Coturnix japonica: one gene and its partner. The protein of the gene in region 1 interacts with the protein of each later gene in a biochemical or structural test. Links are inferred from orthologs where the notes say so. Each region holds a gene or a part of one and is shown on either strand. Other genes may lie near its edges.

What was found.
Region 2: of the proteins of PDGFRB (region 1) and receptor-type tyrosine-protein phosphatase eta, one has a biochemical effect on the other in vitro, tested with the Homo sapiens proteins (2 studies listed by IntAct). The link is inferred for Coturnix japonica from reciprocal best matches to the Homo sapiens genes PDGFRB and PTPRJ.

What each region holds. Positions count from the first base shown.
Region 1 is NC_029528.1:4,810,633-4,826,370, forward strand, and holds the start of PDGFRB (platelet-derived growth factor receptor beta), read right to left. Parts: upstream 14,931-15,738; 5' UTR 14,534-14,930; intron 6,162-14,533; 5' UTR 6,133-6,161; coding exon 6,084-6,132; intron 5,233-6,083; coding exon 4,936-5,232; intron 4,827-4,935; coding exon 4,557-4,826; intron 4,274-4,556; coding exon 4,146-4,273; intron 3,837-4,145; coding exon 3,662-3,836; intron 3,130-3,661; coding exon 2,937-3,129; intron 2,715-2,936; coding exon 2,599-2,714; intron 2,084-2,598; coding exon 1,957-2,083; intron 1,794-1,956; coding exon 1,582-1,793; intron 950-1,581; coding exon 855-949; intron 583-854; coding exon 450-582; intron 54-449; coding exon 1-53. UniProt on the Homo sapiens protein: Tyrosine-protein kinase that acts as a cell-surface receptor for homodimeric PDGFB and PDGFD and for heterodimers formed by PDGFA and PDGFB, and plays an essential role in the regulation of embryonic development, cell proliferation, survival, differentiation, chemotaxis and migration.
Region 2 is NC_029520.1:16,575,279-16,591,786, reverse strand, and holds the start of receptor-type tyrosine-protein phosphatase eta, read left to right. Parts: upstream 1-5,838; 5' UTR 5,839-5,939; coding exon 5,940-6,002; intron 6,003-16,508. UniProt on the Homo sapiens protein: Tyrosine phosphatase which dephosphorylates or contributes to the dephosphorylation of CTNND1, FLT3, PDGFRB, MET, KDR, LYN, SRC, MAPK1, MAPK3, EGFR, TJP1, OCLN, PIK3R1 and PIK3R2. Plays a role in cell adhesion, migration, proliferation and differentiation.

The DNA of each region.
Region 1 (15,738 bases):
ATGCGCTGTTGCCTCCACCACACGTCCAAAGGCACCAGAGCCAAGAGTGCGTCCTGCGGAGAGGTGAGGGTGATGTGATCATTGAGGATAGGAAAGAACAGGACCTTGGGAAAGGCAAGTCTCTTGTCTGAAATGGCACCAGCCACCCTGATGAGAATGGCAGTGGTGGAGAGGGAGGATGTTTGGCACTGTAAATGGTCTGTGACTAATTAAGAAGGGAAGGAGCTGCCAGCCACAGGGAAGGAGAGACAGGAATGACCATGAGCCTCATGCCAAAGGGAGCAGCTAGCTTCCCAAAGCAGCCCCAGATGGTCCCTCTGCTGCAGGATCACCTCATGTCCCAGGGATCTCTGTGCCCTGCCTGGGTTGTTCTCTTCTTGAGATCCCAGACCCAAAACCATCACCCCAAGACAGACAAGGTTCATCAGAGGGACCTGTGGAGCCTTTACCTAACACCAACATGTCCCTGGGCACCTCCCAGCTGGAGTCATAAGGGAGCTGCATGGGATCCACATAGATGTACTCGTGCCCATCAGAGCTCACTGACTCGATCACCTTCCAGCGGATTTCATAGCGAGGTTTCTGGAGAGGGGAGCAAAGAGACAAGGGAGATCTGAGAAGCTGAAGGACAGGGAGGGCATGGGGCCTGTGGATGGGTTTTGTTAGGGAGTCTTTGACCTCTGCAGTCATTGCCACCTTCATGTCTAGCCTACAGGTGGCAGGAGGCCAACAGAGTCCCATGATTTCCAATATGGATGGAACATCATCAGGTAGAAGCTCACAGCTTTGCTCTCCCCATTCACTCTGACACATGGGTACCACTGCAGCAGCCTCCAAATGCTGCCCTTTTTTACCTTCTGCCACAGGACGATCAGGATGATCAGGGAGATGACAGTGAGGACCAGCAGAGCCAGGATGACAGAGATGATGACCACTTTGAATGGCAAGGCTACAACAGTAAGTACAGGGTCAGCAGTCAGACTCTCACCCCCACATAGCCCAGCACAGAGGGCTCCCTCCCTCCTCTAGCCATCGTCCCCTTCCTGCTACACACCTCCCCAAAAGACATCAACCCTGAGGGGTAATGACAGACTGATGATCCATCGTGGACCTTAAATCAGGTCCACACATCCATCCCAGGCTGTCCTCTGGGCTGGAGTCTGACTGGGGACAGTCCTGTCCTCTCCTCTGGGTCAGACCTTCCCAGCTGAGACCTTCCTCTCTGTTATTTGGGAAAGCATGTAGTTGTTTGGGTCTGTGGCACCATCTAGTGACCCTCGGGCTAATAACAAGACACTAGGGGACCTGATCAGTTCTTAAGTCCCTGGAGGGATAGCCCTGCTCGGGAGTGGGAGCAAAATGGCCATGGCCAGTGGGCACGAAGGCTACAGATTGCTCTCAGAGCAGCCTTTCCCACTCAACACAAAGGAGGCTTCCTTTCGGGCAGAAATATCCAGGCTCTCTGCCTGAGGACTGCAGCTATCAGAGGACACTGCTGGCTCCCAGCACCTCCAGGCTGGAGGCACAGAGAGGAAAGTCCATCTCCCCACCTCCGACTTGAACACCTCCTGCAGTGCTCACCATTTGGAACCAAAGTGATGTCTTGGAAAGTGGTGCCCAGGGAGTTTTGCACGGTGCACCTCAGGAGCAGGGGTTCATCCACCCTGTGCAGCTGCAGGGTGCTGTTCACACGGAACACCTGCAGCTCTGCATGGTACGTGGCGTTGGTGTGCAGGCCAATCTCCGCAGAGTTGTTCCCCAGCAGCTGGGTGGGCTGCCCCTGGTTGCCACACCTGGACCAGAGGAGGATAAAGGCACCTAAGGTGCAGCCAGACCCACGTAGCACCATGGGATTTCCAACTGCGTGGGCCAGCAGAACACAGTAAAATAAAGTGTCTATTGTTTCTAAAAATGCATGAGCCCTGTCATTCCTATGGGCTCCATCTCTCTGCTCACCATTTGATGTTGCTGCACGTGGACCAACTGATCTCTGGCTGGGGCATCCCTTCAGCAGAGCATGTTACAGTCTGCTCCCCACTGCTGGCACTGCTGTTTTCCTTGAGATTCACCACTTTGGCTGGCACTGAAACCAAGACACATTGGTGGGAATTAATCCTCAGTGTTGAATGCAGATGGGGAAGGAAGGAAGTTCTCCTAGATCCTCACTGTGACACAGGGTTGATGTGACAGTGAAGTAAGACTTAGAGGAAACGTGCCTTATTTTTGAAACTAAAAGCAAAACCAGAAAGGGCTGAGGTGATCATGGAAGACCACAGATGACCCTATCTATTCTGCTTGTATAGCAGAGGAACTACATAAGGACACCTCTGCATCTGCAGATGCATCTGCATCCTTGGGCCAACACTTGAAGGCTGGTATCTGCCCTGCCTCCTTGTTTCCCTGGCTATAAGACCAGGTGTGAGATATTTCAGGCAATCTTTGTCCTCACTTTAATGCTCTTCTTTTGGCCAAAACCCCCCCTGATCTGTAGTCATAGGTGTAAAGGCTTCAGGCTGAGAATCCTGGAGCAAAGGATGGAGCCACCCCCTGGGACTACCCCCACAATCCTTGGCCCCGTGTCTGCATGCACATCCTCACCATTTATCTGCAGATGGAAGGACAGCTCTTGTGCATCGTCCTCATTTGAAGCTCGGATGGTGTAATATCCTCCTTCCTCCTGCTTCACACGCACCAGAACCAGAGATGTCTGGTACCTGGAGAAGACACAGCCATAGAGTGCATGCAGGAAGGTACCATGTAGCTGACACTGCTTGGAAGGGACCAGCTCCCACACAACTGAGGAATGCACAGAATCCACTCACAGGAAGGTCAGCATTCAGCCACCATCCCGTGTCCAACCACCATCCTGTGCCCAACCACTTTGTGTTGTGAATTATTCCCTCCCTGTCCTCTGGTTAGGAGTGATGTGCCCTCACCTGGTTTCTGACAGGTTCCTGTTGGTGATGGTGAACTCGCTGCTGCTCTCCATGGTCAACGTCTTGTTGTTCTTCAGCCACACAATGTTTGGCTGTGGGTAGGCCTCCACATCCACCTGGATGATGTGGCTCTTGTGGACCTCAGCATACACCGTGCTGGCCAGGTGGGTGTGGAAGTGCACAAAGCCACGCTCTGAGAAGAGGCAAGAAGGATACAGGCTTCAGGGAGAGACACAGTCACCTCTCCATCCCTATGAGCTACCATGGGTCTGGGATCAAACACCCTGAAGTGATGGAGCAGCTCCAGGTTCATCCCTTTAGGTCTCAGGTCCATGCCCAAGGGGAGCATGGGGGCGTGCTCAGAGGCCAGATAACATGCAGGGAATGGGCTGTCACCTTTCAGAGATGGGCAGCTTCCCGCAAAGGAGCACAGGTGTAGGTGGGAGGTTGACTTAAGAACACATTGGCACTGCACAGTGCAAAAGAGCTCTCACACAAACCCTCAAATATATTAGAGTCCCAAAATCTCAGATGGGGGAGTTTGGATGTGTCAAAGCCAAGAAGTCGGCAGGGATGCTATGGGGTGAGGGCTGACTTTTTGCCATGGTTAATGAGGGTGGGGTGAGAAGGGGAGGGAGCTGAAGGCTGTGCAGAGAGAGGAGTTTGCCATTCTGGAGCAACACCCATGTGGGTTGCTGCCTTTGAGAGCACGGTCAGTGACGCACCGATCACTTGGACCGTGATGTCTTTCCGGTCTGTTTTCTCATGGTAGCCCTCAGAGACATTGCAGACGTAGGTCCCACTGTCCTCCAGCTCTGCGTTCTGGATGACGAGGATGGAACGGATGTCATGGCTGGATCCTGGCAGGAAGTCGGTCACTGGCTCCACAGCCTTCCCTGCCTGCACAATGGGGACAAGAGATACTGTGTGTGAAGTCAAGAGCATTTCATGCCAATGGAGGACAGAGCCAGGCTCACGGGGAGGGAGGAGAAGTGGGCAGACCTTGGTCTGTCTACAATGGGGACAAGGAACATGCATCAAAAGCCCCTGAGACAGCCAGCCTTCACACAAGAATCTCCCCACTGAGCCTTCTTGAATGGCAGCAACATCTTACATCTGCCATGACATGAAGCTTCCTGAACATTGCTATGATACTGACGAGTGACTGCCATGGGACACATGGGCAAAGGCTGGGGTTGGTGCACTCACCTGCTTGCGGGGATAATCCCAGTTGAAGTTGACCAGCTCATTGCCGCTGACAGTGCACATCAGGGTGACATTTTCTCCCTGACGCACTATGGTCTGCACTGCACTGATGGAGACGTTCACGGATGAGACTGTTAGAAGTGTCAAAGGAAGGGATGATTAATAAAGGAAGAGATGAGCAGACACCCAGTCCATTTATCTTAGGTGGACTTATTCACTTGAAATCTCTTCTATGAGGTATAGATCTGCCACTTTGGCAGGACCTGTTCTTTAACAGAGACAGGGTTAAATCCAGCCCTTAAATTGATCAGGGATATCACAGGGACAGGAGGAAAGCTTTTCTATCCCATCCCTATTGTTTTGAAAGAATGGCCACAACAGCTACAGAAATAAGCCAAGATGAGGGCAGCTCACCCTGGATCCTGTAGACATAGAAGGTGTCTGAATCCACCTCTTGGTCATCCACGATTGCTTGGCAATAGTAGGTCTTGTCCTCAAAGAAGCCTTTGAAGCCCTGTTGTGGGTCATAAACAGCTGGAATGGGATTCTCCACTTTCTTTTCATAAAGGGTCACCTGCAGCTCTGGGTTGGTCACGCGGCATGGGATGGTGGCCTCTGTGTAGCCCGTGATGAAGATGAAGAACTCTTCGGAAGTGATTGCAGGGAGAAAAACTAAGGAGGGATCTATAAGAGAGAGGGGTACACTCATTACACCACGACCTCTCCCACTGCTTGCTCCAGCGTGCCACACGTGGGCCTTTCCACATAGAGACAAGGATGTGCTGTCCCTTACCTGGAACATAGATGTAGAGAGCTTTCCTCTCTGCTCGCTCTGGAGCCTGGTCGGGGCTGTAGAGACACGCATACTCCCCTGTGTGACGGCCTGTCACGTTCCTGAGGGTGAGGTTGCTGACGAAGACCCCGTCCCTGTGCTCCAGCACAGCAGCGAGAGGCTGACCATCCCTCTCCCAGACCAGTGCGCTGTCCCCATAGCACATGAGGGAGAAGGTGCTGTGAAGGCTAAGGACGAGCTCAGCATCTTCAGGTTCGATGTGCAGCCCACTGTCCCCAGACGTTACCACCAACAGACCTGGAACAGAGGAAGAGGTGAGAGCACATTGGACATCTCTGAAATCCAAGGACTAGTAATGCCCAGTGTCATCAGGAGGTGAGGAATAGGAGGCTGGCCTGGGAGGGATTCAGGCACCCACTGAAACAGAGGGTGCAAACAGGGCTGCTGTGCTGCTGCTACACCAGTGCAAGGGACATCCTTGGCGAGGACAGGGCTGGAAGCAGGGGGACCTAGACATCTCCCAGATGTTTGCTTGTATACATCCCATGCACTGGGCCTGAGGAGCTGACAGCATATAGTCCTGCTGACCTAAAAATGAGCTGGTCTAATAAAGCAGAGGTAGGTCTCAGCTGCATCATCAGAAGCTCAGAAACGCCATGCCTTGGTGGGCAGGGGGAGAAGGAGATGAAGGAATTAATTCCCTGCTCTGCTGGCTCCCTCTTTACAGAGATAGTGCTAGACATGACACAGGCTGGTCTGAAACAACATTTAAGAGAAAGCGAAAAAGGAATGAAAGCAAAGCCTTGCAGGAAATCCTATGGAAGCAATCGAGCAGGCAAGGTCTTCCTGAACAGCTTCCCATGTCTCCTGGCCTTTATGCTTCATGCAGATGTCCCAGTGGGGCTGGGAAAGTGCACACGCTCCCCCACAGTGTCTCTGTGGATGGGGTTAGGGTTAGAGTAAGGGTTAGAATTAGGACTGTGTCAGCAGAGCCGGTAGACCCAGAAAGAACGGATGCAAGCAGTGCAGCCCTCTGCCTCCCTGTGCCATTGCCCATCTCCTCATCACCCCGGTGATGGAAGCATCCCCAGACAGCTTCCCCATGAGGGGCCGAGTCCCCGATCCCATCTCCCTGGGCCACCACTCACCAGTGAGGATGAGGAGCTGCAGTGATGCCTTCAGAGAGGGACAGAGCATGTTGGGCTCCACGGCCCAGTGGCCCAATCCTGTTAGGAACAAAGCAGGATTAATGCAGCACCACAGGGCTGAGGGTCCCCTCTCCACCTCCCCACTCTCCAGTTTTCAGCCTTTCCCTCCTGCTGCTGACCTGGCTCTCCCTCGTGCTGGATCTGCTGAAGGAGCAGATCTAAGGCATCTCCTGCTGGGAAACAGGGACTGGGCTGGAGGCTCCAGGAGCTGTGTCAGCTCTTGGTCATCACAGCTCAAAATGCCTCTCCCCAACCTGCAGAGCACTGCCTGCCTCCCTCCCTCTGCCTTTTTTCCCTATTAGTTTTCACTTCCCTCAGTCCCAATGAGATAAAACTTGCTAAAAAACAGACAACCCCTCCAGTCCTCCCACAATTTCTGCTTCTTTCAACAAAAGAAAATGCATCCAAAAACATTCCCCCCCCCCCCCCCCCCCCTCGTAAAGAACCCCCCCCCAAACCAGAGAATTTCTTCTATTTCAATAAATATGCATCTTCAGGGAATAATTTTGTTTTAAAATCCCTTTTATCAACATTTCTCAAGAATTCCTTTCCATGGAGCATGCCCAGCCCTTCCTGATGCAAACTGATAGCCCAAAAGATTCAGGGCCAGAGCTCCCTAACAGCACTGGAGCCATCCCCTACACAACAGGGTGGCAGGCACAGAGTGGGCTGTGATTCAGGGACTCCAGAGCCAAAGCTGAGGTTCAGAGCTCTCACATCTTGAAGCTGCTCCCAAGGCAGACCCCATGGTGAAGCCCCCCAGGACCCTTGAGGGCTGGTGGCAATCTGAACTTAGTGGCCCAGCCCCAGGCATTGCCTCTTACTGAGTGGGTCTGCTGCCTCTTGGCCCTGAAGTGCCGTCTCCCTTTGCTTGATGTTGGGAGGAAATGGTTGTTAAATGACGTGCACTTGTCAGATGTTTTTATTATTCTCTTGCTTTGGCTCCAAATATTTAAAAAAAGAATAAAGAAAGCCTGATCTACCAGCAAAACCCTCCAGGCCTCCAGCTTACTCAGCAGCTTGCCTCTCCCCCTCCATAAAGCCCCTCAGTGACTCCTCTCTTCTGCATTTGCTGGGAAGGAAGACAGCTCTTAAAGGGAAGACCTGGGGGCGGATGGAATGAAAAGGATGGAGGGGAAATTCAGGCTGTAAATGGACACAAGCTGCCTGTCAGAGAGGTCCGGTCCCACCAGCAGCACCCCGGACTCTGTAGGATCCCTGCCAAGCAAACCAGTGCTCTGCTGGATCCAGGCTGCAGCGAGAACCAAGAGCTCTGCAGCCTCCGCCTGCTGCCGCTGGCTGCCTCCCCAGCATTCAAGGCTGGTTTTAATAAAAACGCTGGTTTTGCAGAAAGCCTTTTCTCTCGGAGATGCTTCCTGAGCAGAGTGGGAGGGTGGCAACATCTCGCGAATAGCTGTGACCTCTCCCTTGTTTGTCTGCTCCGGTTGGGGTGAGAGGCATGCTTGGAAATGCCGAGCTCTGCTTGCTCTGCAGAGCCTGCTCAGCAGACAGACAGACCTTCCTCTCCTTGACACAGCAACGTGTGCTCGCACACGTGCACAAACAGGCATTTCACAAAGGGATGTAAATGAACCCAGATCTCTGCCAGCCTCGATGATGTTTGTTTCAATCCTCAGCCTCAGATTCTGTTATCTGCAAGAACACCAAGATGCACCCTATGAGTGCCAGACAACGACCCGAAGTGAGAGTGACGCTACCCAGCCATCCAGAATCAGGTACACAGATGTGATCCCATCCTTGGACCCAAACATCATCACCTACACAGTGCTCAGATGCCATGGATTATCTCCTTCCAGCCCCACGAGTGAAAATGGGGTCACAGACCTCTCAGATTCTTACACCCTTCCCATGGACCAGCAGCTGAGCAACCTTAACTATGGGACATCCCGTGGGCAAGATCCCCACCCTGCAGCAATGCCAGCTCCTCAGCAGGCACCAAGGAGACATCCCAGCTCCCATCACTGTGCTGAGACCCTCCACAGCCCCTCCTCCCTGTTGCAGTCCCCAAGTGCCAGCACAGAACCTCCCCCTGCCCCTCTCTGGTGCTGTGACACAAGGGCAGGCTGGTCGTTTTCTCTTGAGCTGTGTTGTTTATTATTCTAAGAGAGGAATTTGGCTGGGAGAGGAGAGGGCGGCCATCAGGCTGCGCTTGGAGAGCAGGAGGTGTGAGGGGCAGCTGAGGGCCCTTGGTTTGTTCAGCCCAGAGCCAGGAGGTTGTGGGGGGACCTCACTGCAGCTCACAGCTCCTCATGGCAGCCTCAAGGATGCTGGAGGTGGGGAAATGCCAGACCCAACCTCAGCTGGGGATGGTCTCATCCCTACAGAGGGAGGGTCATTCCTCCACCATCTCTGCCACCTCTCCCCATAACAGTGCCTTACTGACGATCTCAAGCTTCACCAAACCTCATTCATCTATTACTGTTCCTCCATCCCAGACCTGTATCTTGTCTGAACAAGAATGCCCAAAGCACACTGTGCGGACTCAGCCTTGAAACCCTGTTGGTATTTGACAGGACAAGGGGGAGTGGTTTCAAATTCAAGAGAGGAGATTTAGACAGGATATAAAGAAGAAGTTTTTTTACAGTAAGGATGGTAAGGCATTGGCACAGGTTGCCCAGAGAGGTGGTGGATTTCCTGACCCTGTGGACACTCAAGCACCAGGCTCAGAGCCGCTGATGTGGGTGTCCCTGCTCATTGTAGAGGAGTCAGACCAGATGACCAGCTTTAAACCATGGGACCAAGCAACACCCTTACCATTTGCTACCCACTGCCTGAGCACTCCTTGACCACATTCCTTGCCACTCACCCACAACCAAGCAGAGAAACTACACAGGGGTCCCACAAGCACCCCCAGTGCTGCAGGAGCTGGGAAGCAGCCTGCCAAGATCCACACAGGGAAGGGAAGGTTCTGCACATCCTGCAGCCCCACAGCTCCTTGAGCAGAGCTCAGCTCCCTGCGACCCACAGCCCACCAGCAAGACGTGTTGCTTGCTGGAAACCAGGGTGCAAAACCCTTCTCAGCACAACCAGCTGCCCTCGCTTTTCCTCTCTCTTTCCATTTGCAGCCAGGCTGCGATTCCCGGCGCTCCCACTGTGCTCGCTGGCCCCGCGGTCCTGCCAAGCAGGCAAAGGACATCTGGTGTGAATTAGCGGGAAGTTAAACACACTTTATTTTTTCTTTGTCTAAACTCATCTGAGTCATTAAGTGAGATCATGGATGCCCGCGCGCAATGAGAAAGCCCTGCATGGATCCCAGGATCGATGCCCAGCACAGCCATAGTGTGGGGGCTCCTCCTGGCCTGGGGAGGGGAGACATCCCACCCCATTTAGAGGGGAACAGCTCCCCAGGCAAAGGTTGCTGAGACCCCAGCATTGCTTGTCCACCAGTGAGACTCCCTGGCCTGTCCCATTTCCCTCTGCCACCCTCCCCCCGCCTCTGCGACTGCTTCTTTCCCACCCTTTAATCTAAATAAAACTGAGCTTTTTTTTTTCCCCCTTGGCTGGAACTGGCTGGAGTTGCAACATCTCTCCTCTGGGGTCCCTCGGCTCCCATGACACCGCATTTACTCACAGGCCAGATTATCATCACAGAGCCCTTTTTTTTTCCCAGCACATGGCTAGAATTAGGCAGCGCGCACATGGGGAGCCCGTCATCCCCAGCCTGTAAACAGCCGATGATAAAACACAGAGGTTGGAAACCTGAAACTGGAGGGACTGGGAAGTCCTGGGGGTCCCATGGGCAGTCCCTGGAACACAAACCTCCTTTTGCACATCAGCCTGCAGATGCAAACGTGGTCCTGATGCTTTACCCCTGTGCTGATGACACTGAGGGATGCTCAACCCTAATATCCCTTCTTTCCCCCTCTGGTTTAAGCCCATGGGAGACAGAGGAAATGAGTGACCCATCTAAGCACAAGTTCAGAATAAAATGAAACATCTGTTTGGAGCTGGGCCAGCGTTATAAATAATCCCCCAGCCTTGAGTGTTGGTATTCGTGGCCCTTTGGGTTGCGCATGCTCCCCCCGCTTCCGCTAATGGAAAGAAGGCCGGGCACGGGGCTGCTCCCTGGAGCCAACAAACCTGGCCCAGGCTGTGGGAAAACCCTGGGAGGGAAGCAAGGGGCTCAACTGAGGTCAGGAAGGAGGGATGGGATGCCTTGCTTTTTGCTTGTTGGTCACCTGGACCAAGCTGTGGCATCACACACTACGCAAGATGCTTGTGTGAGCAGTGGGATCTGCTGAGCCCCAGAGCTCACTCCCTGCAGGCAGTGACCCCAACCCAGGGGTCCAAATGTGTCTCTCGGGAGCATTTCACGCTTCTCCGGTGCCCCCCTCCACCAAGCTGCCCAGGGTCATCCTCCAACTCCTCCATCATCCCTGACAGTAAAGACATCTTAGGAGCAAACACCACAAGCAACGTGAGCAATGAATGTGGGTGCAGTGCCCCCAGCCCACAGGGCAGCACCCAAACAGCTCCTGGCATCACTTCATTGCCAGCCCCAGGAATAGATGCCTCCAGCCATGCAACAAAACCTGGGAGCTGCTGGGTAGTGGCTGCTTGGAGAGCAATCTGTCCCCTCTGTCCTCAGGCTGTAACATCTGGGTCACCTCGGGGTGTCCCCATCCACTTGCCTGATGCTTTTCCAGCTGTGTAGGGGTGGAGAGGATCAGGGGAAGATGCAGGGATGAAGGCACCTCAGGCCTTTCCTCCCTCCCTTGCTTCAGCAAAGAAAGCTAAGTTCTTTGCTAAGGTACGTGCACCCTGTGTCCCCCACTGTGCTGGTCTGGGGCCAAAGGTCCTGGATGGCTCTAATTAACCACTAACCAAGGGGAGAACAACAGATAGAGACATCCCCCTGTGTTCTGCCTCCCAGCATTGCTGCATCCCCAGCCCCACGACCCTGCAAAGGGAGAGCAACCTGATCCTCAACTGAAAATGTCCATGAGATGCGGGTGCTGCCAGGGAGGAGGAAATAATTCCCGTGGCTGCATCGGCCCTTCTCTTCTCCGCTGCCTGCGAGGGACCCGAGCTTAATCACTTTGTTCTGGGGTTTTAGGCTCTCGTGGCCAGGATTAGCCACATGACAGCTCTGTGGTCGGGGATGAGGAGCAGGACCCAGTGTGTCAAAGGCAGCAGCACACGTGAGGGATGGGGCCTGATGCAGTGCCCTGCTGCTGGGGCTGATCCCGCACCCCCTGCTCAGACCCAATACCACATCCCCTCTCCTTGCTGCAAAGCAGGGACAAGCTGCCAGCTCCCTGTGCTGCAAGCTGGGGCCCACTTCACAGAACAAGAGAGAACACCCCAGCTTCTCTCTGCATCGATGCTCTACAAACACCTCCAAAACCCCACGAATCACACAGACCCACCACCTGTTCTCTCCAAACCCGGCTTTAAAATCACCAAGTCCTACGCCTGCCAGAGTTTGCCTTCCTGAATCAGACCATATTCTCCCCATCCGCTCCCACACTGGAGAGAGAAACTTGGCAGGAGAGGACGGGACCCTCTCAAGGAGTGCCCTGAGCAGAGCAGGGTTCTGTTCTGCAGCCATTCGCTCAGCAAACCCTGAAACTGAGGTGACTTTCAGTTTGCAAGTGGAGAATGTGCTTTCAGAGAGCAGAGCTTGCAATGGTTTATTTTCTGCTGGCCCCGATTCAGCCAAACCCACAAGCAAACATATTTTTTTGTATAAATAAGACAGTGTGTCTCGCCAGTTAAAGCAATTCAAACATGAATGTAGCAATTTAATTGGTGCCAATTACTGTGTCTCAGTAGCATTAAGATTTCAGTCACAACCTCCTTTGCATGGCAGACGGGCCAGGAGGGGGAAGGAAGAGGGAGAGCAGGATGGGGCCCTGCTCCTTGCTGTAGTCCACAGGGGATGCAGGGAGAAGTCCCCATCCTTAGCAGGGAAGGCACCTCCTGCACATCTATCCCTGCTTTGCAGCAGCACCGCACACCTCCTGCTTGCTTGGCAGCATCATTTCTGTGCGAGATTTCATGAGGAATATTGAAACGGTTGTTCAATATTCCACAGCCTGTGTCCCAGAGATGAGGAGAAAGAAGAAGGGTGTAAGGGCCAGGACATCACTGCCAGCATCCCCTGCTATAAGGAAAGGGACGGACCCATGGGACCCCCCTGACCTGTCCCAGTGCCCCTCTGTTCATCTCTGGCACGTGTCCCCATCCCTGTCCCAGCTGACTCTGCTCCAGGAAAGTGCTGCACTTCCAGGAAGGGCCGTCCTTGCAGAACAGGACAGAGGTGCGCTTGGCTCAGGGGATCCTAATTAAGCAAGCCCTAAAACAAGCCTCATTATGCCCAATCAGCCTGGCAGAGCAGAAGAAGACTTCTGGAGGCACCCCAGCCCCCCAGGGAACAATCCCCGACCTCTACCCTCCCCTCAGCTCCTCTCCAGGGGATTTCTTCCCCTCATTTCAAGCACAAACAAACAGACTGCACAAAATGCCCCAGCCTACAGTGATGGGATTCATCCAGCCCACTGGTCCCCAATGTGTCCCCAGCTCTGGGCCAAAGGCAGCACCAATGCCACCACCAGTGGCTGAGGGCCAGCAGTTGTTCAGCCACCACCACTCCTGCTCCCTGCCCTTTGCTGCTGCATGCAGGGAGATGCTTGGCCATCCAGCACTCATCCTATTTCAACTTGGCATCTGCTGCTGGAGAGCATCCCCTAATGTTTGATCCTCACAGACACTTCTTGCCCTAATCCCAGGGATGTTGTTCACTCTGTAACACTACTGTTTGGGATACTTTGAGAACCCACCAAACTGGAGCCTGAACGATACCAAGAACTCATTGCCCTGCTGCAGCACCCATGTCCCCCCAAACCTGCAGTGCTGAAGGTGCTCTGCCCACCAGAACTTAGTCCTGCACACCACTACACATTGACCTTTTCCTTTGCACTCCCCATGCACAAATACTTCATGCTACCATTCCAGCACCCACCCCTATTTAGAGCCCCCTCCATCAGCCCCCTGCAGCCTTTTCTGCATGCTCTGAGCCCCTTCTGTGTCTTCCCCAAGTCTTTCTCCCATGTCCATCCCTCAGCACTGCTCTGCGCTGGCTCTGCCCCCAGCCCTGCTCCTTCCAGTCCCACAGGAAGCACTGCTGGTTTCCCCATGCCGCGCTGCAATCTGGTTTGTGTCCAAAGCCTCCAGATCCTTTCCCACAGCACAAACTGCCTGGGCTCTTCTCTCTCAAGATCATGTACAGACATTTAATAGTTCCTCCCAAAGCTCAGTGGGCTGCTGCTCCCAACCTGCTCGCTCCTCCCCGAGGATAAAACCACCCCCCTCTCCATATTGCTCATGGGGAGATGCCCAGAACTGAGACCAGTAGGACCCCCCTGCAAGCACTCAGGACATTTGGTGGCTGTTTCCCAACTGCAGCCCTTAGTGCTGAACCCACTGCTTTCAGCTCTTTGCCTGATGCTTTAGCAGAAGCCCCAGGTGATCCAGGGCAGGGATGGAGCAGAAAATATCCCTTTGCACCCCCAGCTGCACCTCCCTGCTGGCAGATGAGCACAGGAGCAGGATGCCCTGTTTCCACAATGTCTCCAAAAGTCCTTTTGTGACTCACAGCACTGCAGGACGTGCAGACCAGGCTTTGCTTCAGACCTACCACCACCTGATTGCATTGGAGACCCCAAGGACAGCTGAGTGATTGCCCACACTTGTGCAACCACTTGGAGAGGCCCACCCTGAATGGGTGCAAGCACTGAGCACAGCACACAGATGTCCCCTCCGTGCTGGCCTGGCCCACAGGGATGGGGGGGCCACTAAGAGCAATGAGTGGAGAGGGGTGGCACCAGCTGTGTTTGGATGCATTATTGCTGCTCTGCCTGATGCAAGCATGGGGTGAAGCTGAGCAATGCTGCACACAGCAAGGACCTGCATCCCTGTGCCAGCCTCCTGCAAACCCACCCTGGAGTAGTGTGGAGGTCAGCAGGAAGCCCCTGCTGCTCCCTGCGATGCTTTGCACCAAACTCCCCATGGTTCCTAGATGGGGCAGTCAGGCCCTGCAGCCGGCATCCACTGCACCCAGCTCTGCTTGCAGCCCCTGCCTGTGACAGCACAGTGGTAGTTCACTGGGGACAGGCAACAGCCCTCTGACAGCCCAGCACATCACAGGGAAGGACCTGAGGCTCCCCAGGGATAAGCAGAGGTTCCTCAAGCCCTGCCACAGCATCCCTTGGGGGAGTAGAGGGGAAGTTACCCAATATGGCTTTATCCATGGGATGCCACCACCCTCCCAGGGCTGGTGGGCCATTTCAGGGTGCCAACCCCCACGTTATCCCCATCAGCAAAGCCCCTTCAGGGGTCCTACATCCCACCCCGGCTCCCTGCCTTACCTCACGTGGGGTCCCAGCGGGTTAGTGCCGCTCCGCGCGTCCGCAGCCGCCCCGAATTCCTTTCTCTCCTCCTCCGCTCTCTTTATCTGCAGCCTGCGGAGGCTCTTTGCCCTCCCAGCCTTCCCCAGCTGGCAAGGCTTCCCCGCATAGAGGAGAGAGATGAAGGGGAGGGGGGTGGGCTGGGGGGAGGAGAAAAGTAAAACAGAAAGGGGTGTGGAGGCTGTGCCAGCGCTGGGGCAAAGCCAAGCCGTCGTGCTGCGCCCTCAGCGCATCGCAGCCCCCCGACGTCCAGCGGGGCGGTGTGCGGGGTTAAATACCGCAGGAGGAGGGGGAGGAGCGGCGGGGCTGCCCCGCAGCGGAGTCCGCCACTTCCTCCCCTCCGCCCTCTGCGGGACTCCGCTTCGAGCCAAACTTTCGCTTAAAGCCCAACGGAGCGGCGGGATGGGGAGGGATTAAAAGAAAGAAAGAAAGAAATAGAAAACTAAAAAGAGGAAAAGCTCAAGTGGTGCCGACAGAGGGGAGCGGGGCTGCGTTAGGGCCCCGCGAATGGGAAACAAAAGGAGCCCGGAGCTGCCCGGCTCTGCCCTTCGAGCAGAGCTGCTCCTCATCTCCTTGTGCTTGCTTTCAGTTCTGGCCTTTCTCCCTATTTTATTATTCTTTTTTTGTCCTCTTCCCTCTCTCTCTTCCCCCCCCCCCCACCAAATCCCCTCCCGTTTTCTTTTATTCTTTCTTCATTTATTTATTTATTTTATTCCTTTCTCAGGATATGAGGGGATGTTTAGAAAAATCTGCTGCCCACGCCAGCAGCTGACTCATGTTTTTATTAAAGAAGGCCTGTGCTGAACTGACTCCGTGTATTCCCTCTGGACTCCTGCCTGGGCCAGCACTGCCCCCCACCCCCCCCATTCCCCCATCCCGGCCCCACAGCCCTCAGCCAGGCTCTGGGACCACCAACACATGCCCACAATGGTCCTAGGGGAGCATCCTCTGGGAGGCCTCGGAGTGGTGGGTTGGTTGTTTTTGGAAAGGGGAATAAAGGATAATGTGCAATTGGGATACCCTGGTGTGGGATGCTGGGGATGTGGGGATGGTGGTGGCTGGATGGGGTTCATTTGGATGCTTAGGGGCACAGAGCTGTCCTGTACTGCTATGTGCCCCAGGAAGGAGCCCAGTCGCCCTGTCATCTCCCTGCTGTACCTAACAGC
Region 2 (16,508 bases), on another chromosome or scaffold:
TTCTGGACAGTAGAGTCTAACCAGCCACTGCCTTGTTCTACTGTCCTGTGACAAGTCACCAGTCGTATCCACACCTGATATTTTACACTGTACAATGTGATGATAGAACCAAGGGGAAATGGCTTCAAGCTTGAAGAGGGTAGACTTAGATTGGATATAAGGAAAAAATATTTTACAGTGAGGGTGGTGAGGCACTGGAACAGGTTGCCTAGAGATGTGGTTGATGCCCTGTTCCTGGAGACTTTCAAGGTTGGATCAAGCCCTGGGCAACCTGATCTAGCTGTAACATCCCTGTTCACTGCAGGGGAGTTGGAATAGATGACCTTCAAAGGTCTCTTCCAACTCTAAGGATTTTATAATTCTTTGACAAGTGATTTCACTTGTTCAGTACAGCAGACTCGGGTATTGTATAGGTTTCTGGCACAGCTTTGGAAATTAGTTTTATGTTATTCCATTTGTAAGGTGTCAGTTACTGGGTGACAGTTTCTCTTGAGAATCTTAGAGTTATTGAAAGTGATTCCACTAAAGTTTCATATTCTGAAAACTACTGATGCATTTTAATAGTAAGCAGGAGATTGATGAGGGGGGAAAATGGTAAGGTGGAAGAGAAGGGCAAGTTATTCTATTTGCTGCCCAGAATCCCAGCTACGCTCAGTATTTCCCACTCTTGCCAGTCACTGCCTGTTTGCTCCACATGCCATCCTATATATATGTCCTTCATTTATGGAGCTGCTGAGTTACAGCCGTGCCCTTTGGTTCTCCCTATGGAGATTCTGTCATGGTATCTGAGTAGCAAACATTCTGATGTATGCTTATTGTGTTAGTAGCAGCCCTTTGCAACCCATGATATTACTCCTGTATGAAGCCTACATAGGATTGCATTCATGAGACAAACTATATGACCAGAACCTCTTCTCTATGCCTGTTGAAACCAAGTCCATTTTGTTGCTGCATAGAAGACAACCTGCTTTTAAGTCTGATGTCTCTTTGAACTTCAGTCACTTACAAAACATCTTCTGTTGTGATGGAAGTAGTTCAGATGCCGCAGATGCTTTGGAGTGTGTTAGTCTGTGGGTTTTTAATGCATATTTTCCTCTCAATTATTATGTAAAAGATATCCTTTCCACCCACCTCCCCTCCCACACAGGAAACTGGCCGCTGAATGAGCATGATAGATTGACTGAAGGTGTTTCCCACCTCTGAAAGTTACTTTCAGTTTCTGCACTTTGAAGCCTGTTGAAAGTGAGGTGTTTCTTGTTGTTTTTTTTTTTATTAAAAATAAAAGCTTTTTTCATGTTGTTCTCTTTGCTAACCTCCATTGTGGCAACAAAGTGCAGAAAAACCAAGCAAACCATCTCCCGTCCACATCTTCTCCCGTGGTCAATATTAAATCATTGCAAACCTGCCCTATGATGCAGAATTTTACTTTTGTCTTTCAGAAAGTGCTTTTTAATGTTCCCTCTGCTCATGTTTTACCATCCATATTCAAGATGGTCATGACAGTAGCTCAGTATGCCTTCCATTCCTTGAGAATAAAGAGAAAGCAAATGTACTGCTTAGGAGTTAAAATACCGCACAGCAGTCCCCAGTCAGTACCTCTGGCAGCTACAGACTGTGGAGAACTTGTGTGAGCAGAAACCAGGTTATATCCACATCAAACTTCTGAGATGTTTCAGCATCAATTCTAATGGTAGAACCATCCCAGCTGCTGCTGAGTTCAGCATTTGCTGTAGATTCTTCATTTTCTGCCTGCAGCTAGACTGGAAAGTCCACAGCACCCATGAAAACTTTCACACCTCTACCTTGTCCATGTGAGTGCAGCTTTGTTTCCACACATCGCTCTGCTCTCAAGGATGATTGCTAATTTTATGCCCAGAATGTATGTAGCTTAAGGGCCCTGAGCAATGATAGATGGGTCAGAAGACCATTTGTCATTCTGTGTGAGTAACACAGGTCCCACCTTGCCTGAATCTGTGAACTTGCAATGGCAACCAAGAACACAGCATTTCTTGGATCACAGTCTGAAATCATATCACGGAGTGTTTCCTCTCTGCTAATGGCAATAGCAATATTCTCTTTCCCCAACCTTTTCCCCATCTTACCTACTTAAATGGCAAGTAATGCTAACATCTGTTTTGTGCTGCGTGTTTATACAACACTGTCCTACAGCAAGGCTCTGTTTTGGACATTACTACTGTAAGCAGCTAAGAAATGTTCTGCTAGGTCAGGGCATTGATGAATCCAGCCAGCCCAGTATCCTGCCCCCAGCAGCATTAGAAGGTGCTGTTTAGGAAGAGCAAACAAACCTGACCACTGTCTCAAGTCCATTCCTAGCATCCACTGTCATACACTGGGGATGTTATGGATTCATCTCTGCCCTTTCCCTGTTTATGGACACATTGTTCATGAGTTTGCCTACATCCATTTTGGACCTGCTTCTACCAGTTGTCTTTAAAACCTACCATGACTACAGATTCCACAAGTTCACTACCTGCTATGTAAAAAAGCATTTCATTTTATTTGTTCTAAGCCAGTCTCACACTATGTGGTGAGCAATCCCTAGTTCTAGGTGGGATTTATGAATAACAGTTTTTCATCCATCCCATTTCCAAGTAGCTTTCTCCTCTCAGTTGAGAAACCTTATCTTTTTAAGTCTCTGTGGGCCAGCTGCCCCCCTGTCATGGGCGCAGGTAGATTTTCGCTTAACCCGTGACAGTCTCCCCATGTAAGACAGCTGCACCATCATCAGCTATTTTATCTGCCCTTCTGAGTGCCTTCCCAATGTCCATTATGTCTTTCTTGTGATGCTGAGATCGGAACAGCTCACAGGATGTGGGTGCACCTGGGTTTTGTATATTGGCAAAAAGATGCTCTCTGCATTGTTCTCCACACTCTTCCTGATGATGCTCAACATTCTGATGCCTCTTTTGGCTGACACTGCATCAAGCTGATGAATGAAACTGTGAATAACTAATGAGAATATGCTATTGTGACGGAGGCTGGCTGTGGGATGAAGTTAAATATAGCTGTGCTGATTTATTTATTTATTTTTAAAGAAACTATTTAATTGCCAGTTTCAATGAAAGACAGATATTATCAGCCAGGGTGACTGCTCTGAATTGGACAGCTTTGGATTACTGTATACTTTTGCAGTCTTCTCTTTCTCTCTGCCTGGAGTGTAAGTAATACGCCTTACTGTATAAACTATAGCACCCATAAGTAATACGCCTGCACATTCCTCCTGGATTTGTGTGCAAGAGCCCAAGGCCACTTTTAAACTTCAGTCTCTTGTTCAAAAACTTGATTATAAGGATGTGAAAACACTTCCCTCTGATGCTGCCTTTTGAAGACGTTTATGACTCAGACGCACAAATTAACTTGTGGATGAAAGTGCACTAGAAGCTCTAGCCTGGGAGCAACACCAACCTAGTTCTTATAATCCTGACACACAAAGCTTTCATATAAGCCTGTAGAATAAACAAAATTTATCTATAGAAACACTTAGGCAACCGCAGTTGTAATGCAGGGAATTTCCAGCAGATTAGTATTAATCTGTGAAGAGCCCGTAGCCTGAAATGCAAACTTGAGCCTCTAACTCCTGGGAAATTATTGTTTGTGATGGATATTGCTGCTCAACAATTAACAACAGGAAGACTCATAAAAAATCCTGGGCTTTTAATTTCTCTTTTTCATTTTCAGCATGTGAACTCCCAAATTCTGGCATGAATCTGCAGCTCATTGCTGTCCAGCTCTTTCCCGTGGTCTGCACGGCCAGCATTCAACCAGAGCATGCTGCGAGGACCAGAGGCCTTGATCCAAGGAAGCTCTCAGGTCCATGTGACCTCCGTGGAGCTCTCAAAATGTTATCAGAATAGCTAGGAATATTCATCCAATTATTTTAAACAGTCCCAGGGAGATAAGTATTTCTTCAGCTGCTGCACACACAAAAGTTTGCTACAAACAAAACAGAAATCGCACTTCTTGGTTGTTTTTGGGTTTTGTTTTGTTTTGTTTTGTTTTGTTTTGTTACAAAAAAATTACACTTTTTAGTGCATTATATTTCTTGGCACTTCATACTGTGGCCACCTTCAGCATATCTGAGCTTATTCAACTATCAGTGAATCCTGATTGCTCGCTTCTTCAGTGCAGGCAGCATCATAATGCCAGATGAATAGTTTTTGCACACAAGAAATGCTTCTGGAAAGTAGTTAGTCCTTTGAGGTCTAAGAACTGTACCGTACACACTTCTCCCACTCTTTCTACTCCAGCATAACCTCACTCTATAAGGAACGATGGCAACGGCAAGGCCACTGGTTACAGTTACAGTTAATTATATGCACTTAAGTTGTATACTCCAATCCCAGAACTACTCTGTTTCGCTACACCTAAATTTCTTAGTTCATTATGACTGTGCATGCCTCAATGATGAGACTTTCTCCCAAAACTTCATAGGCCTTCTCTGTCAGGTATTGGACATAGGAGTAGTTGTGAGAACTCAGCCACAAGTATTTTATGAAAAAGTGATTATCATGAACTCTGTATAGGCTGTGCATGAAAAGCTCCACCAGCTCTACTGGATCCAGACAGACATGCTTTGGCAAAAGAGGTTTGGTTTGTTGCAGGAATGATACAGCTGAGCAGTTTCTGGGGCCAGGGAGTGATGTAGCATATGAAGTGCAACACTTGCAACTTCAAAGTTGGGGTATATGGCCTACAGAGGAAAGAAAAATGAGAGAATACTCAGATGTTTGCAGATGAGAACACCAACTTCAGGATTCTTATAAATTTGAACAGGTCAGAATTCCAATTCTTGCTGTCTCAGTGCATTTCGTTTTTAATGTCCCTCCTCAGGGTGGGATGTCACTGCTGCTTAAATCAGCAGAGGGATTCTCACTGAATTTTGGCACTAGCTGGGTTAGTTGGTAGGCTGTTGTACTGGAAAGGCGTGCAATTAAAAACACCACAGTGTTCTCACTCTTAGAGCTGAGGATGATCAAGTATGACTGCTCAAGTGAGGTCCCACAGCGTAACCAGGATCTGAAGCTGTCAAGGTAGCTGGTTGTATTTTAGATGCAAGTGAAACTCTGCCCAGGCAGAAGCTACAGTTCAGCAATTTAGAGCCACCGGGGCTCTTTGCAGGCACACCAGGGGGTTTGAGTCAGAGGTGGAATTTCCAAATTGTAGGGTTTGATCTGCTGAGGTAACCTCAGCATAACAACTTCACCACAGCCAGTGAGACTTCTGGCAGCTGCATGGTTCACCAGTAAGAGTCTTCAGCCAGACGGTAATTCCCGTGTGCCTCGTTCTGAATGGATAGGATAGATAAGACAGCTTTATGAATGGGTTGCATATAGTGCTTGTTTCCTCACTTGAGTGTGTCCCAAGGATTTTGAAAGTAATTGGCTATTTCCTCCTAGTCTTGTTGGTACGAAGGGATGTCCTCCTCCCGCACCAACTCCAAACTTGCGAGGAAGTGAAGACAGCGTTCCCATAACCAAAGGGAACCGTCCGTGTTTCTCACTTATCTGAAATGAATGAATTTCGGAGCAGCGCTCGAAGCCCGGGCAGTAATCGGGGTTATCAGAGTGACGGGGCTCGGCGATGCCGGGCTCCGGGAAGCTTTCGGAGGCTGCCGCTCCCTCGGCCGTCCCGGCGGGGTCTGTGATGCCGGGAGGAGGGGCCGTTTAGGCCTGGGGGAGGCGGCCCTTTCCGCCCCCCCCTGCCCGCCCCGCGCAGGGTTTCCCCCGGGTGGCGGCGGTTCCCAGCTCCGCCCTCAGCCGCGGAGCGCGAGTGGGAGGGCGCGGCGCCGCCGCCGCCTGGGAGGGCGGCGCAGGGGTGGGACGCCGGGCGGTGCGGGGCGCGCGGCCCGGCCATGTCTCCGGGGGAGGCGGCGTCGGGCTGAGCGGCCGTGTGCGCGGCGGGGATCGTTGTCCGCCACCATGAGGCTGCTGCCGCTGCTCCCGCCTTGCCCGCTGCTCCTGCTGCTGCTGCTGCCCGCCGAGGTGAGACCGCGGCTCGGGCTCGGGGGTCCGTCCGTGCTGCCCGCAGCCCGAGCGCCGCACCTGCCCCCGCGGGGAGGCCCGTGGCCGCGGGCAGGTGTGCGGCCGGCGGGCGGCTCGGGCTTTGTCCCGCCGAAGCCGCCCGCGGAGAGGCCGGGGGGCGCCGCGGCGCGGGCCGGAGCTCACCTGGGGCCGGCGGCGGCCTCCCCACGGGGTCCGAGCCCCGCCCGGCGTCGCTTTGAGGGGCGGCCGCTCGTCCACGCCGCCGGGGATGCGGAGGAGGCGGGAGCCGGCGGAGCAGCCCGAGCGGAGCGTGCTGCGGGAGTCCGCCTCGCCGGCAGCTGCGTTACGGAAAGCGGGGACGGCTGCCGTCCTCTCGCTCGGTATTGCAGCCTGCTCCGGTCGCGAGCCCGCTGGTTCATTAGCGATGTTGTTCGCTCTTCTCCCGTGCCGGTGATGCGCGTCGCCCGCTGGGCTATGGCTTTCGAGAGTGATTTGCGGGTATTGCACAGAAAAATCGTGCCGGGGCGTGGAGGGAGCGGACCTGGCAGCATCTGGCTGCGGGTCAGTCGGAGGCCTCCGTCAGCACGGCTGTGCTTCATTCAGGCCTCCTCCCTCGGTGCCGGAGCACATGCCGGCCGTTCTTCCAAGAACACCTTTTGGTGATGTAAGTCGCAGTCCCTTGCCAGGTGACGCGCCCATCGTGGCATGGCACAGACTTTCACCCCCTCCTCATCTTGGCTAATGACTTTCTAACGTTGCCATAGGTATGCACTGTGACTGCTGCAAACTCTGATGTTTCAGGGCTCACTGAACTTTTGCTTCCAGAAATACTGGCTGGGCTGCTCTGCCTCAACAGCTTCTCCTATGGAAGTGTGAGTGTGTGTGGGTATGGACCAGAGTGCTTGGTAATCTGTGGTGACAGTTCCCCCCGGCTTATATTTCAGTCCCACCCTGACAGTCACAGAATAGGATTATACCACTGCTATATTTTTAGCTATTTCTTTTCCAGTCTCACATTGGTACTCACTCATGATTGCAGACGATGTGTATCCTAAATCATTGCTTCCTCCTTGTCTTTCATTCAGCTTGAGCACCTTGCTCTGTAGTCACCTGGATGATGGAATACTGTTGTTCTATCTCTGCTTTGCTATTGTGCCAGGCTTGGAAATCTCAGTGTCATGGTCTGACAGTGCTGAAGGCAGCAGGTTTTGACGGCCTTGATTGTGATGTTAGACATACCTGTGAACATGAAGGCTTATGCCACACCTGCCCTCTTGATACTTGTCAGCACCTTGGGAAGTTTTTATCCATAGGGGCAACTGCTTGGTCTCCTGAGAGAGATGGCGGGGGGGAAAAGCCTTTTAGGGGTGGGAACTGAGTCCTTGCTGATGGCATGGTTGTGAGGAATCATTCTCTTGTTTGAATTAGCTTAATTTCAGTTTGGCACTTGTGGTTCAAGGGGGGTGACGTGTGCATGATAGGCTTGTTTAATATATTAATGCCAGCAATAAGGGTGCAGAACAAAGCTTTGGAGGGAATGATTGCTCAACATGTGGTTGGTCTTGCTGCCTGTTCCATCCAAATGGTGTTCATGTGTTCTTGTCCTTTAAAAGTCAGGATGGCATCTAATAGAGAACAGTTTTTCTTACTGTGGTTGGGTTCTTGGCACAGGTTGAGGCAGATGTCGGAGCAGGCTGATGTCATTCATGGTGTGGTGTGTGTGTGTGTGCAGGTGTAGGGATGTGGCTTGGGACTACGTAGGGAGTTACCCAGCTGATGGCTGAGGAAGGCTGCAGCTGGTGGGACCATCAGGCACATGCCATGAGCAGGCCTCACACATTGCCACTGAGAACTACCCCTTGTCTACAGCCTCCCTATGAGCCCACGAGAGGAAAGGCAGCGAGTCGGGTGGCTCAGCTGGATCTGGCCTCTGTGTTTCCTCAGATGACAGAGGTGGGGTTGGTGAGGGCACAGCACTCCTAACACAGACAGCATTGTCAGCCCAGCACACGCAAGGGCTGGGAAACGTCCCGTGCTGTGGAACGGCTGTGTCACAGCAGCTTCTCAGTGGTGTGACAGGCATATGATCTTTCTGTGGTGCCTTTTACTCAAGGATAAACATCTTCCCTATTTTTTAATTTCTTAAGAAGTTACAAAATAATGGTCAAGGTTGGAATTTCTTAAAAATAAAAACAAAAGGAAGGAACCTAGCTTTGTGCTTTTGTGTGGGACAGTGATTTGGAAATGGTCCTGTTAGTGAGATGGCAACGTAACATCCACTGCTCAAAAGTAGTAGACTTTTAAGCTCCAGTATTTTTGTTTTTCGTTTGGAATTACAAATGCTTCTTATGCAAGCCTTGATGGCCTGCTCTTACCATGTATTTCCTGCACAGAAAGTCTCAGTAATGCTGCGTGAATCCATTGCATAGGATTATGATTTAATTGCTGATTTGAATGTCCAGCTGAGGGGTTTAAATGATGCACCATCATGTTAAAATGTGCGCTTGCTATGTATGTGTTGCACGTCAATTTCTTTCCACTGTATGTTGGTCATTGTTAATCATCCTTGTTGAGCCTTCTATTAGATGAAAATCTACCTTTTAGTTTTAGTAAAATTATTCTAAGTAATCCTCATCACATAAAAGAAAAAATGTATGTTAAAATAAATGCAGTTTATGGAAATTTTTAGCAAATACTTTGTCATAGATTTACCTATTTAGAGCTTTGAAAAAGACTGAAGCTTGAGAAGTATGAGGCTGCCTACCTGCTGCTGTGGACAGACTTCTGAAGTAAAACCTTTAACAACCACCATTAGCAACACAGCTCTGGGCATCCCTGATCTGGAGACCTGAGCATGCCTGGAGTCAGGACATGTAGGGCAGAATGAGAAGCTGTGTCTCTGAACTGTGTTCGCTTGTGTCAGAGGAGCTTGGAAACGTACTTCTTATCTGTCAGGACAGGTTGTTTTCTGTGCTGACTGATGGCTGATGCTGAAATGCACTTCCATTCTTGTACTGAGCTGCAGTATAGGTTTGTTTCAAGAGCGTCTGTACATTCAAAACAAGGACAGTGTGAACACCTTCCATAGCACACAATAAAGGCGTTGCTTTCCACGTGCAGTGGATGTGTGCTGTGCCTGCATATTGCAGCACGCTTAGTTGGATTCCAATACTTGGGTTTTAGTCTCGAGCCAGCAACGCACAACAAGATATCTTCTGCATATTAGAGATCTGAATTCAGGCCCACAGTGGAAATGTTGTCTGTGCAAACAGCCACGCTATTATTAGTACTTCCTCAATTATGTGAGCTACATGCCAGGCTTTGTTGAGGATTTTCATGGCATGTAAATTTTTTTGGTTGGAGTTACTAAATATGAGAGAAATTGCTACTGTTTTAAATGTTTTGGTTGCTTACTGCGGAGGGCTGGATTCTACTAACCCATACCACTTTAATTTGTGCACCTCCATCTTCCTAGTGGAATTATAGTGTATCATAGGACGAGTATTTCAGCAGTATCATAGAGTGATGGGGTACTGGGAATTCAGTGTTTTCAGGTATGAAACCCATCTCAAGTCATTTTTCTTGCTTTCTTGCTTATTTGAAAGAAAATTCTTTCTGTGAGCAAAGGAGAGGAAAGCCATTGAATCAGCCAGTTGCGGCACAGCTGGTTGCTAGCCTGATGTGACTGCTTTTTGTCAGACTCCAAAATTTGAATGTAAATAGTACCCTGAACATCATTAAAGGTCACTGGGAGGATAGGAGGAGCTAGCTGAATTTTCTTCAGCAGAAAGGGCCTACTGCTGGAGAAAGAGATCCTTGCCTTAAATAGAACCATCAGTAGGAAATTAGATTTCAGCAGATGACTGCAGAGGAGGACTCTAATTGTGGTGGGATACAGCAAGTGAAGGTGAGCGTGTGCTAATGCAAAACGTTAGAAAGCAACGTGTGGGGAAGGAGGTGATCAGTGTGTGCAGGAAGAGAAGAACAAAACAGATGCTCTGAAAAACTGCACAAAGGCTTTTCTCTGAGTGCTTTCCAGCTGTTTCCAAATGTATCTGCAGCTGAACAGGCCCCTACTAAACCAAAATTCCTGGAGAAAACCCGAGATCAAGTGGGAAAGGTATTTCTGTAATCCAGCAAAGAATGGACACATCCGTGTCAGAACAGAGTTGAATCAATGAAGTCATGGCTCATTTAGTTATCTTCTGAGCTGCTGGTGAGCACTGGTTGGAAAAGGCAGGCAACACAAAACTGTAGCAGTCACAGTCTGATGCTGTTGGTATTTGGAACCTCACTGAATGCTTTTATGTTTTTTTTCCTACTACCATCAGCCAATTGGAAGAACCTGTCATTATTAGAAACCTGTAGTGCAGCCGTCACTCTTTTCCCACTGAGACACTCTGGGCCACGTAAAAAAGCCTCTGTCTCCACCTGCAGAAATTAGAAATGTAACGGAAGAAAAAGAGACTGTGCTTTCATCTGTGTCTCTGGGTAGTGGAAATTGTAACTACAGCTACATCCAGAAGTAGGAACAGTACCAAGCCTGCGGGGGCTTTAACTGGTCTTTGCTTAACCGTGCTCCACTTGTGGGCAAGAAGAGTAAAGCCTGCATCTGAAATGAACCCTGTGCTGGGGCATGTCAAGAAGTTTCCCTTATTTTTAGCTTCTTTTACACTGTCTTCTTCTACCTCCCATTTGTTTGGTGTGCTTCTGCCTTTTCTGACTGATTCATACTGTTCTAACCAAACTAAATGAGTAAAAGAAATACCCACAGTGCCATTGATGAGCTCTCAATGTGTGCAATGTTTTGGTCACATCTCTTAAAAAATGTTGGGGTTTTCTGTTTTCTTTATTGGAAAGACTTTGTGGTCTTTTGGTTGATTGGTTTGGTTTTGTGGTGCGCAGGACAGTGCTGTCTACATACCATAGTACTGTTTTCTTCTTACTGTGTGCCATATGGGCCAGAGACAGAACATAAGGAATAATTTCTGTGAAATTCCACCCCCACTGAAGGTAAGAAACTTCTGCTTCTAAGCCTATAAAATCATCAAGGAAAGACTTGACCCTTGGTCTGAAGCTTTGTTGTAAATTGCAGTCTGTTTATTGTAGCCTGGTAAGCAGATGCTGTCTCTTAGCTCTCTTGTTTGACACTGTTGCATTGAGGAATGAGTGAGGGTGGCATCTGGTCCTGGCTCTGTGTGTTGCTCTCACCTGAGCCTGGGGGTGCTGCAGCTCTCTGCTGCCTCAGCTCAGGTGAGGGGTGAGACGTAGGTGTCTGAGAGCTTTTTCTTGTTAGGATTTTACAGTCTGTATCAAAAACACAGATGGCTCTGTTACGAGATGCCTTCACAGATTAATTATTCACTTCCTTTTGGCAATATTCTCAGAGGTTGGTTTTGTTACCTGCCAAGCCTGCAAAGGGTTGCAAGTTGAGCCGAGCCTCATCAGGAGTGCTCCTTAGAAAGGGGTTATTTGTGCAAGCGGCTTTTGTGAAATAGCTCGTTCCTGTTACTGGGGAGCATAGCTTGGCATGTTCTGAGGGCTTCGAGTGTATCTTCTGGTGCCTCTACTCATACTGGTTCAGTGGAATTATTTTGTACTGCTTATCAAGATGAATCTTGCATAGTTTTGGACAAATTTTTAGATGGGTGGTAAGACAGGGAACAATCCATACATCTATGAAGAGCCCTGGTCAAGGTTATGCCAACACAGCTCTTGCTTGTTTGCTGATGGTTTGTGTCTGCAGAGGGAGGTGGCTCTGGAGAGTGTTTCTCACAGGAATGTGGGTGACTTGTTTCTTCATTCCCCATTACTGAGAAGCTTAAGCTGAGAGCTCTCATTATTTCCTCATGTGCTTTGTTTCTGTTAACTTCTTAATACATTTCTATGTTTATCTTCTTAGGTTCCCACACGAGCAGGTCACTATTAGCACATCTATATCTGCATACCTGATTTTGAGTCTTCATTTTCAAATTGGGATTTTTAGGGACTCTGTCGCTGGAGTCATAGAATCGTAGACTGACCTGTGTTGAAAAGGACCACAGTGATCATCCAGTTTCAAATCCCCTGCTATGTACAGGGTCACCAGCCAGCAGACCAGGCTGCTCAGAGCCACATCCAGCCTGGCTTTTCAATGCCTCCAGGATGGGGTATCCACAGCCTCCTTGAGCTACCTGTTCCTATGTGTCACCAGAGCCCAGTGAACGGCAGGAGGGTGCCCAGGAGCAGACTGGGAATGCTCTGCGCTCCCTGTAAGACAGGAGGATGCTTTGAAAGTGATGGGGCAGGGGGCAGTGGCCAAGGAAAGATACAGGTTAGTGTTGGGGCACACCAGTCTACGTAAACAGTATTTTATGTCCTGACAGCTCTTTCTGACATCAAGACGTAGCTTTGGCTGAGAAAGCACTGAGCTCTTACCATGCGCTCTGCAGTGCAGGTGGAAGATGTGCACGTTGGTTTTGCCGTAGCAGAGTGTAGCTGTGTGACTCAGCCTTGCCAGTGCTTCTGGCACAGCACTGGGTGTGCCAAGGTTTCAGTGCACTTTTCAACGTTAAACTGTGACGCTGTTAAGAAAACTGGCGTGAAGGAAAAAAACAAAACAACACGGGTGCCTGTGGTAGGCATTACATTTACGTATGCAAAATTGTGTTGTGCTAGTAAGGAAGTTTAACAACAGCCTGGGTTTTCCTTCTGCTGTGATTGTGCTCAGTTGTTCTGGCTTGTACTGCAGGAGCTTCATGTACTTATAAATAATCAAGGAGGAAATGAACGATGTTAAATCGGCAGCATCCTTTTAGGACATGAAATTCAGCTTTCTTTTATTATTTTTCTCCAGTGAAAACAAGCATAGGAGTTCTCATGTTTTCTTGATACTGCATGTAGAATCATCCATTTATTACAGAATGTAGACTTAGGGGATTATTGGCAGCATATGGCTTCTGTGATATGTGAATTATGTTTTCTAAGTCCCGGTTTTCTTTCAGCCTCCTTGCAGGATCAGACACTTCTGACAGCAGTCTTAGAGCTCCATATAAAACAACATAATTGCTTCTGGTCATGATACCAGGGCAGTGTCTGTTTGCAAAGTAGACTGTACCTGATTAACCGAGTTTCACTTTCTGTAGATCTATAGTTTAATGCAGTTCCCTTCCCACGGTCCCTAATGTGCATCTTAAACTAAACCAAAAAAAAAAAAGAAAAAAGAAGGCCTTTCTTTGGGGAAGTTTGTCATCTTTATTTCAGTTTGCATAATTCTTTGCGAGGGGAATTCACCTCTGCAGGGTAGCTCTGCACAGCTGGGCACAGGGGGAAATAAGCAGCACAGAGATGAAGTCAGGATCTGGCCTTTCTAGCTGGCATGCAGTAGGCATATGAGTTAGGCTCAGATTCCAATGGGCTTATCTAAGTACTGGAGAAAGGAGACCGAGGTGCTTTCGCATGAGATAGACAACATGACTACCTGCAGAATCAAAAGATGTTCTTCTTTCAGACTCTGCGGTTTGAAATCCAATCTCTAGAAATATTTTTGAGCTGAAAAACTAGAAAAGGGAAGATGGATTTTTTTTGAAGTCCCTAATAGACAGGACGGTTATTTTTTCTACCAAACCTTGAACTGATTCTGAATTTCTTCTTCCAGCAAACTGAAAGCACGCTGTTACACTGAATGTGTTCTTTTGAGTTATCAATCATAACTGTATTGTCACAGCTGCATTAAAATATTACAGACTATTTTGAAGTTCATGCAAAGCATTCACAGACACTGGTATTATGAATGTGTTAACTCAAGTTCGGTTTTAAAATACGAGTGTGGCGAAGGGCACGGCTGTAAGATCTGGAATTGGATCTGTTGGCTCTTTGTCCTTTCATCTCTGTGACAATACAGGTAATTGTATGCATTTAATAAATCTCAACAATACTTCCCTTTGTTTCCATTAAAAAAAAACTCCCTTTGTCCGTGCCTTTTATCGAGGACTTCATTTGAAGATGTTAAAATTTGGAGGAGGTATTTAGAAATAAAAAAGCTGGGCAGCTGACGGATTAAAAAAAAAATTGCTCTGAATCCATTTGCAAAAAGGCATTTTTTCCAGCTGAACGGTTACAGATGAAATACTGTTCTAAAGTGTTTAGCTATTCCTTTATAAGATTTTAATAGCCAGTGTCCTCCGGCATCACGTCAGTGTGTTTTTATCTCGTCGTCTCTTTCTTCAGTCGTAATGGCTTTTCATTATTGCTGGAAGGTAGTTGGTCTAAAATATGAATGTCTTAACATTGGGGTATTTTTATGTGGATTTGAGACTATGTAATGAAAGTGTAATTGCTTCTGTGCTTTTATTGTGAACATGTGCCCAATTCTTCTGTGGCACTGCAAGTTCTGATCTCTGCTCTGCACTCCATGTAAAAGATCATCATTAAAGCAGCAAATAACAGGATTTCATGTTCGTGAAATGAAAGCTTAAAAAAGCTAGGAAAAAAAGAAGCAGTTATCATTAGCTGACTTTTTAATCGTATAACCTAGCCCTCAACCAAGCTATATATACCCTCGATGATTGTAGCATAGAATGAGTTTATTGTACTCTATATTAAGGAAACTTTCTTGCTTGCAATATTTCAGAAAGTACTGGCACTGCTAGTGAGAGTGTATGTGTTGAGCTCTCGCCAGCAGCAAATATTTGCAGGTGGATGCAATATCTGGAACCGCCTTAAGCAGTACTCATTTCCCACTACTACAAGACAGACCTACGATATGTGGTTTAACTGGTATTTAACTATTGTCTTCTGACTCAGTCTTCATGCTTTTAAATGCTGAACTATTTCCTGGTTCAGTGGGAGAAGCATACGCTGCAGGATAAGTGAACAGAAGGCCAGAGCTGGCAATTACTGACTACATAGCAAGCTTTTCCTCTTGCTTTACTCCTGCAACCTCCTGGTAAAATGAATCCTAGGTCTCCTTATGGTTAGGATTTTGCTGCAGAAGTAGAAATGGAATAGTTCTTTTCTAAATTACTGCAAGTTTGAGCAGCCTACAAAATTAAAATACATTTTAAGTGTCTTTTTCACTTGTGCTGCTTTGTTTATTTATCTTGCAGGAAGGTACTTCTCTTTCATAGAATGAATCATAGAATGGCCTGGGTTGAAAAGGACCATAATGATCCTCCAGTTTCAACCCCCTGCTATGTGCAGGGTCACCAGCCACCAGACCAGGCTGCCGAGAGCCACATCCAGCCTGGTCTTGAACGTTGCCAAGGGATGGGGCATCCACAACTTCTCTGGTGGAAGTTCTGGGTGATTCACAAAAGAGCCCCCCCCCTCCATCCTAGCAGACCCACTGCCCACTTGTTGTGCTGTTATGAGACATAAGGTCATTCCCTATGACCTTTACCGTGCTCTGTAAGGTTATGCTTGCGTGCAAAATTCTGTGCAGTGCATTTATGGTTCGACCTGTGAGCAGTATGTGTGGTGTTTATTGCTGTGCCTGCACTTAGGGCTGCTCAGAGCAGCTGACACAGTCCCTACTTGTTTATTTTTCAGCTCCTTTTAAAGATAAGAAGTATAGTAAGTTGCAGTGTCTAATTCTTCCACAGACCAGTTGCTGCCAGTGGTGGGGTGATGCCCTGCACTCCTGTTTCTGCAAAGTTGGCCGCAGAAATGAAATCTGAGATTCTCTTGGAAAAGAAAAAAGGGATGTAGAAAAGAAACTGAGGATCTTATGTGCTGAGGTTCATTTAGAGTCATTTCTACGTATTAGTTACTGCTGCATTCAGATGGCTTCATTTCAGCCGTGTTAATCTGAGATTTGCAGTAAAACCTGGTTAGCTGAACATTGTGTCTCCTTCTATGGAACAGTGTGGAAAAGATAAGAGAGAACCAAACTTCAGTTTCCCTTTTGAGCAATAGCCTGTTAATGTTCACTGTACTGAAACAAGACATTTGCTGCTCCCACTTCCCGGGGATGTTGTAGGACTTCTGAAATGCTGCTAGAGGTTTGTGGGTTAATGACTGAGATCTCTTAGGGCTTGTGGTAGAGTGTGATTTCCACATTTGTCTGAGGGCAGAGGAACTGACCTGACCCCCAACGATGCGGATCACACTTGTCATTGCAAGCTGCAAGGAAGCGAGATATGATGTGGTGCCTTTCCTTCTGCCAGCTGAGCAAACTGCTGGCATCTGAAATGGCTCTGATTTCCAGCTGTGCTCTGACGGTTAACCAGATTAAGTTTCACAGTCTCCCACGTGTGGAGGTTCAAGCTCTTGGGGCAGGTTCCCTGAGCCGTGGCTTTGTAAACCAAGGCAAGGTTTCACATGACCACTGGTCAAAGTAATCTCCAGTTGCTGCTCATTGTGTCTTCTCTTTGCACATTCTTCCCTCTTGTTGTTCTGGCTGTGTTTTGGAGGTTGTCAATGCTGTGCACTTGTACACAGCTAGTGATAAAAGATCTCTGGCAATAACTTCTTTAAATATGTGTATATATATATATATATATATCTTTCTCAGTTGCCAGGTGCATG